Regions from separate parts of the Mus musculus genome. Here region 1 is reported to be linked to region 2. Evidence: microRNA targets listed by miRTarBase, many of them from high-throughput screens and not tested one by one. Region 2 holds a microRNA gene; the other region holds the end of a gene's coding sequence.
What was found. Region 2 holds the annotated microRNA mmu-miR-495-3p (AAACAAACAUGGUGCACUUCUU, at 1,535-1,556, opposite strand). A microRNA usually pairs through its seed, bases 2 to 8, with sites in the 3' UTR of a target mRNA and lowers its output. Matches are read on the target gene's strand: a 7mer-m8 pairs with bases 2 to 8, a 7mer-A1 pairs with bases 2 to 7 and ends in A, and an 8mer does both.

Region 1 (4,056 bases), not on the chromosome of region 2:
CCATTAGACCTGATAAAAATTAGAGATGGGGATGGTAGAGCATGCCTTCAATCCCAACACTCAAGAAAGCAGATCTCTGGATACCTGGCCAGCATGGTCTACATAGCAAATTCCTAGAACAGTCAGGATATAGACACCTCAAAAGATATGCAAACAAACACAAGACCACCCATCCCCAATTAAATGTGGGTGTGTGCTCAGGAAATGGCTCAGTGGTTACAAGCATCTGTATACCAGAGTCTGAGTGTTTGGATCCTACCACCCATTAGGTGGTTCACAAATACTGTCCTGCTCCAGTGGCCCCGCCAAGGGAATATCCGCTTACAGGGCATATGCTCAGACATTTTACACAAACTCAACACCAACACACATACACAAAGTAACTTTTTAAAAGACTTTATATTTACAGGTGAGTACACTGTTGCTGTTCAGACACACCCAAAAGAGGGCATCAGGTCCCATTACAGATGTACTCACAGGGCTGTGGTGTTATCGAAAACCTTTTTTCCAAGCTGGGCAGTGGTGGCGCACGCCTTTAATCCCAGCACTTGGGAAGCAGAGGTAGGCAGATTTCTGTGAATTTGAGGCCAGCCTGGTCTAGAGTTCCAGGACATCCAGGTCTCAAAAAACCAAAGATACCAAAGCTTAAACTTGTGCTTTTTTGTAGCTCTGGCAGTCCTGGAACTCTGTAGGCCAGGCTCCCACAAAACAAAGCAGAGCTTTGTGCAGCTCTAGATGTCCTTGAACGCAGAGCCTCCAGTGTCTGCCCCAGTCATGTCAACCCAACCACAGGCTATGCTCTACAGGGAATGTCAACCACAGGCTATGCTCTACAGGGAACGCTGCTTTGGAACTGGGATGGGAAGCAGCTCACTAGCAGCTGCAGAAAGTCACCCTCTCAACATGCCTGTTACTAGACCACCGATTAAAAGCATGCACAACCCCATCCAGCTAAATTTTTTATTTTAAAACAATGAAACCTTAACTTCCCACACCCAGTCTGAGAGCTCAGTAGCTAAGCAATGTGGCCTGTTATGCTAGCCCTTCCCTGTCTCATATACCCCTTCATGACAACCCAGGTTTGGCTTACTTCAACCTGATTTTCTTTTTTTCGAGACAGGGTTCTCTGTGTAGTTCTCTGGAACTCACTCTGTAGACCAGGCTGGCCTCAAACTGACAAATCCGCCTGCCTCTGCCTCCCAAGCGATGGGAATAAAGGCGTGCACCACTACCGCATGGCTTCACCTGATTCTTATGTGAGATAGTAACAATAGCAGGGGAACTAGAATCTCTAGGCCCAAGGACTTTTAACTCCCTCTCCCGTCCTTCCAGAAAACTGTTCTTGCAGACATACAAGCAAGCAAAATACTCATACAAATAATCACACAGAGCACACATAAGGAAGACCGCAGTGCAGTGGGTGATGGGAAGCTCATATTCCCCAAAACCCACACACATACAAAAACAAAAGGGAGTGTAGAGACATAGCTCAGTGATACAATGCTATTTCTATTTTGTCACACACACACATATACTCTCTCTCCTGGGGTCAGTATTCATTTAGGTCAGCACCCTCCCCCAACCACATGCAGAGTCAAATGGTTATGAATCTGGTGTCCACAACCAACCTTCTGCACACCATTTGGGCCCTGATTACTGCCAAGCCAGTATCACTTGAACCCCAGCCATGACTGCATCTTCTAAGTCACTACAAAACAAGGAGAATGACCCCAGTCCAAAAAAAATCTTTATGTTCCTTTATTGGAGCAAGATTCCTGACGTATACAGTGATGTATTTACTAAACAGAGTCCTGTGCAGAAATTACACACTATCCATCTAGACAGATTTTGGTTACACTTTGCCTATTGATGGAGTAGTTCCATTTATAAAGTTTTATACATCAGAAAGCTTTGAATTTGACCAGGCTGTCCATTAATCATCTCTGAAAAAGTGGCATTGAATTTTAGCTCTATTTTACAGCATTAAAAAGCTTACGCATCAGGTAGCTTCCCAAACATTATCCTCTGCCCGATGGCGCTGAGCAGACAGCTCTTCATCCACCTACGTCAGTCTCACATCTGAGAGCTTCTGCTACATACCTGTGACAGACACTACCAACCACCTCACTGACTGCTGACCCTGACAGTTCACACTGCCAATGAGGACACGTCAGCGGCTGTCCCTCATAGATGGCACAGAGCAACGGGTCAGTAACGGTGGGAGCAGGTAGGTGCTGCCGTGAGGTCCGGGTAAAGGCCCATTTTAAAAAGAAAATGCCAAATTGAGATAAAAATCAAGGGTATAAGTCCACAGCAGCAAGCTGTGCCCACAACTCAGTACGGAGACGTTAAGACATGATTCAAATCCCTTTCTCAATCTGCACAGCCCTGAGGTCATCCTGCAAAGTGCGTATCAAAAAATACGAAGTTGGGGAGACAAAGTTTGACGTGATGTCATTATGCAGTCAAACTTGGAAGGTCTGTTGAGCATCTGTTGACAGAAAAGCATCAGGTCCTTTGTGTACACACTGATTTTATTGTAACAAAGCAACTTGTACACTTCAACATTTAAAATGAGCATCTTTTTCCTTCCAGTGAAAACCAAAAAAAAAAAAAAAAAAAAGAAAAAGAAAAAGAAAAAAATTAAAATTACAACAGAATGTCAACTCCAAATAAAACCATACAGGTTCTGCTGATTCTCCCATTGAGTGTCAGGGCTCAAGTCATCATCAGGAGAGAATTTTATTTTAAGTGTCACCTTAAATTGCAAGGATGTCTGTTAAACCACACAATTAAACATGCCAAAGGAGAAGCCATGTTGTCAGATGCCCACCTACCCCAGACACCTCAAACCCACCCTTGCTCACCGTCTATACCCCCCCTTTTTTTCTTTTTTTTTTTCTTTTTATTAAACAAGAGAAAGTAGACAGATACATGTTGGTAAATGCTAACTGTCTGTATTCACATAGAGACACAGTGTAATCTCTGAGCCCAATATACAGAGAAAAGAAGAAAAGCTAAAATTCTATAAACTACTACACAGGGGCCTAGCGCCCTCCAGCAGAGCCAAGGGAACTGGAGGGCTTTTCTTTTTTCCCACAGAGCATGGTGGTGTGGAATCCACAAATTTAGACAAGAAAGGATAAAAAATGAATTAAGAACAGAAACGGAGATTCTTTTCCTGTTGTATTTTGCTCAAGATACTTCCCCCCAAATTAATTGAGAACCATGATGTTGAGACCTCAAAACAGGGCGACTGAGCACAGAGGGACAGGGAGGAAAGGACTGCAACTTGCTCCCAGGGACTGGAGAAAATTAAAAAATAAAAAGAAAATAAAAAAGAAGGTTGGAATCCATCAGTCTTCTGTGCTAATCATCCTCGCCTTCGTCCTCCTGAAAGAACAAGGAGCAGTCAGCCTCCAGCGCACGCACCCTGCCCTTCACCAGCTCTCCCAGCCTAAACTGGAATCTTCATTAACTTAGCACTGATGTGGAGGGACCCACAGCGGCTCACAATCTCAAACCAATGGGATCCTACACCTTCTGAATCATGCAGTGCAGACACATACATAATCACCCATACATATATAATTACATTTAAAAAAGAGGGAAGACTCAGATGTTAACACTCCACTCCCACAACTGTCCCACTATTCCAGCCAGTTCCCTATCACACATTATATTTTATAAATACTGGGGCTTGGGTGTACCTCTCCTTCCTTACCTCTCCTTCCTCCCCTTCATCCTCATCGTCATCTTCTTCACCTTCATCCTCATCTCCTTCTTCATCAATATCTTCCAGCCCCTCCTCCTCTTCGTCGTCGTCATCATCATCTTCTGCCTCTCCTTCTTCATCATCCATGTCGGGAACCTGAGAGCAGCAGGCAATGTTCTTTTAGGGACTCATTCATTCTATTGGACACATTACCTCTTTCAAGCCACTGACGCTTACTCACCAGGTAGTACTGCAAGGGATTTGGCCAGATGTCATCTTTGATGACCTCTCCTAACTCATCAGCACCTGCGTCAGAATGGTCAGTAAACCAGGTAAAGAAG
Region 2 (4,066 bases):
AAGACAGCTGGTGAGGTATTGTGCCCAGAGAATATTCTACCCTCAAAGATGGAAGGCTCCCTCTGGGCCTATACGTACCTGGGATGTAGGGGTGAATAGCAGCCCTTAGAAGCCTGCCAATAAAGCACAAAGCTAAATGTGAAATGGAACTGAACAAGTCCGGTTACCTTGGGATGACCACCAGAGGCATTTCTGTCCAGGTGTCCTTTGCATTCCTTGGATGAATCCAAGACAAACTCCCCTCCAGAAGTTTGTGGGCCTAGGGGCCTTGGGCTGGGTGGCAGGTGTCACAGATATAATGTATGGCGTGCTCACTGCTCCACCAGCACCGAGGCCAGTACCCACTAGATGGAAAGGGATTTTCAACCTAAGAAAATGGGTTGACCATGCTTGTTCCATGCCCCTTAGCCTTTCTCCATGGGTATAAAGGGAGAGTTGCTGCTTTTCCAAAGGTGTTTCCATCTTTTATAGGCAGAAGCCAAAACACAGGTACAGCCACAGCCCAAGGGCATCACTGAGCCAGTAGAAACTAAGAGCTAAGTGTGTGGCTAATCCTGGTACCTCTTAGATGGAGTTTGCACTGGGTTTTGATGCGCTATGGTTGTTGAGCCACGTAAGTATAAACAAAGCTTTTATTCCAACTTGAGCAAAGAAAGAAATAGCTAGTATCCTAGCAAAGGGTTGCCTAAGAGTGATCCCATATCTTGTACTGGCTCAGCTTCGGAAACCCTCCAGGGGAGATGGATGGATGAGGTGTTCTCATACTCTCTGGATTGTATCCTCCCTCCCACTCTCACAAGAGAGCCACCAAAGGGCCCTGCTCAAACAACCACACTCAAAGGCAATTTTGATGCCATGAGGAGGCTACCAGAGAATGTTAGCCATAAAGAGAAGTTCACTAGGGAAAAGGGGTCTGAAGTGCCGCCTTACATCTACCACTCCAGAGGGCAGGGGTACCAGTATCAGAGATAAGAGACAGGCAGCAGTGGCTGATGACAGCTTGCTGTTCCCTGGTCCCAATCGTAGCCAGCACCCACCAGTCCTCAAGGCCTTGCTAATGGCATCAAAGAGCACAGCCCGTAGACATGGCAGGATGCTGGTAAAGAGCTGATCTGGGGCCCAGGCTTTTCTAGAGTCATAGTGTTATGTGACACTCACCAACTGACATATCTTGGTAAAGACACCTGCAGCTGACATCTAGACACATGTCTCCAGAAGGAATTGGTGGTTTGGCTTGTATTGGCTGTTTGATTAAATTGCTATTGTTTGGATTTTATAATTTTCTGGGCTTCTCTTATCTGAACTCCATCCTACAACAGAGCCTAAAAGTGCGCTTCCTGGTTTCCCTTACTGACTGTGCCTGTCCCAGGAGGTGGGCATTCTGGACCTAACAATGCACAGAGCCAAGAGGGGCAGGTGAAATTGTGCTTCTTTGAGGTAAATGCCCCTGTGCACATGGTGACCCAAACCCCCTGGCCTCCCGTCCTCCCTCTGGTCCATGGGGAGCTCTCCAAGGTGAGATTTGATATCGAAAAAGAAGTGCACCATGTTTGTTTCGTCACAAATAAAAGCGAAAAATAACATGGGCAACTTCTTTTCAGGTACCACGGCTGAGCTCTTGCTTGTTCCAGCAGTGTGCCTGAGTGTGAAGGGATGCTGAGGGACAGGCGGAAGGAAGGGATGGTGGGTGAGGCAGATACTTGGCCGGGAGGGGGACAGGGATGGGGGTCCTGAGGCAAGGGGAGTGGCTCAGTACTCATCACTGCCATAGCAATCCAGCCCAAACCCCCTCTACCTCAGGATCTCAGGAAGACCTGGGACGAAGACTGAAGATTCTGAGATGTTGCCTACCATCCTTGCCAGTCATTCTGAAGTGTCACTCGGGGGAAATGGGATGGTGCCAAACTCCAAGACAGAATCTCCTCTCTCAGTTCCAGGATCCTCTTCTGAAGCTGAGAAAAAAAAAAAAAGTCAAAGAACTAGGTGGCAAAATCCAGGGCAGCCTAAACCAGCTGTGTGAGTGCCTGGATGATGCCCTCTGAGGTCCCCCCTCTCCCGCACCCAGAAGTGACTTACGATGTAGACAAATACAACAAAGAGCTCACAGGGTACTGGGAAGCAGAAGAACAGGTTGAAATGGGAGGCTCCAGGATTCTGAGCGTGTGAGATGTCTGGGGATGCAATGTCCGTTCATCATCTTGCGGCTGTCCTGAACGGGACATATGACCGACCCTTCCCTGAAAACAAAACGCATTGATTAGTGTGTGTTACCGTTACTGGAAGGTTACAACACTACAGCAATATATCTGAACCACAAAGGAAAGTGACTTGGTACCAACTACCTACCTTAGACTGGACAATGGGAATAATGAGCAAGAGAACATACCATCCAAAGAATGCCAGTTACACTCATTGACAGGCCACTCAACAAGGAGCCATCCATTCCTCTCATAGTAAGGAAAGGCCCACCTCAAGCTGACTTACACACAAAGGAGGCATCCAGGCTAATATAACTTAAAGGTACAGTGACGTGTTGAGCTTCAAGGAGTGTCGGATGCAGGTCCCAGATTGTACTGTTACTCAAATGTCCCATGGTTCCTCTGGGACAGGCACTTCCCCCTCTGTCTAAACAGCCCTGGGTACTGTCCTCTTGAATTCTAGCTGGCCTTCAAACTCAGGGAACAGTGAGATCCACTCAGACATCTCTCACAGAAATGAAGACTCATTCCCCTCCCAGAAGTCTCAGCAAACATCTCCCTGTGGGCTAAGGTCTCATCTAGGAATCAATAATGTCTGGTCAACTGGTTCCTTTGACACTGTGTTGTGGAGGAGGGAGGAGGGAGCAGGAGCCAACCAACCCAAACCCATTCTCATTAAGAAAGGTCAGAGGACCATTCAAGAAGGGAGATAAACTCACACAACCCAGGCTCACTACATAGACTACTTTCCTAGACTAACATGGCTTCCCTGAAGTCAGTAAGTAGTTGAACCCCCGAAGTCTTCAACGTAGAATAGGATGCTGAAAAAGAAGTGCACCGCGAATGTTTCGTCACATATAAAGCGAAAAACACGCGGGCAACTTCTCATTAAGCACCGTACGTCAGCAGCATGGAACCCTGTGTACCACTTGTGTACCGCTGTCGTCACTTCCTGTGGCTTGAGTACCGCTGTCGTCACTTCCTGTGCGTGAGCAGGCGATCACGCTGCAGCCCCGCTGTACCTAGGGGGCTCTCACAGCTGTGCCCGCTCCACGCAGGCAGAATCAGGATCTTGTAGACAGGCTTTGGATTGGTCATCCTTTGGGGAGGTCTTTGGAGTCTCCTCAAACATCAGAGAATGATATAATAATCCTGACTTTGCTTCCCAAAGTCCAGCTCTGGATCCGTGACAAGAGAGGAGGTGGGTCCCGTGACCTCTCAGTCGAGGTCACCACCCATCTGCTAGAGGGGAGGACATCAACCTATGTTCCACGGTGGAGGCCCTGATGCAAGGAGGTTATCATGAAATGGGAAACAAAAAGATATCTGAGCCTTTGTCAGAACGAGACAATGTCTCCTGGACAAAAATATATGTAAGTGGCATGTGGTGTTCTGAGAACAGATTCTGTTGACCCTCCACTTGCTGGGAAATGGAACATTGAGATTAAAAAAAAAAAAGAACATGAATAAAGATAGACTTCTTAGGTGTTCCAGGTAGATAGTTGGTTGCCTATGCTTGTACACATGTTCTCTCCCTCATGACATGGCTACAGGGCACCTCCCCACCCTTCATTGGCTTGACCAATGAAACATGAGCAGAATCACAGTAGTTCCTAATCTCAGTCGGAGAGTTCCTACTTACTTTCTATGTCTCTGCCATGGCTGCAAGAACCACTTGCCAGGAGCCTGGAGGAGGGGCAAGGAAGCCACCTTCACCCCCAGGGTAGCAATACATCAGGAGGTCGTCCTAGGTATGGAAGGCATACTCAGCATTAGTAAAGAAGGACACACATGAAAATATAATATATTCTTTCAGACAGAACACCATGACATACCTTTTCCATTGATGAGGACTCTGGTGTCCTTCC

Region 1: the mRNA of Set is a reported target of mmu-miR-495-3p. Seed matches in the 3' UTR shown: 7mer-A1 at 2,541-2,547.

The regions. Positions count from the first base shown.
Region 1 is chr2:30,070,256-30,074,311 of GRCm38, reverse strand. Set (SET nuclear oncogene) reads right to left here. Exons shown (of 8, transcript NM_001204875.1): 6 at 3,957-4,056; 7 at 3,725-3,871; 8 at 1,735-3,393. The coding sequence ends at 3,370. Among named protein-coding and RNA genes, the nearest start is that of Set, 5.8 kb to the right of the region's middle.
Region 2 is chr12:109,716,285-109,720,350 of GRCm38, reverse strand. Mir495 (microRNA 495) reads right to left here and starts at 1,597; the gene lies at 1,535-1,597. Mir666 (microRNA 666) reads right to left here and starts at 3,266; the gene lies at 3,168-3,266. It overlaps Mir543 (microRNA 543), which reads right to left and starts at 3,093; the gene lies at 3,018-3,093. Mir667 (microRNA 667) reads right to left here and starts at 345; the gene lies at 254-345.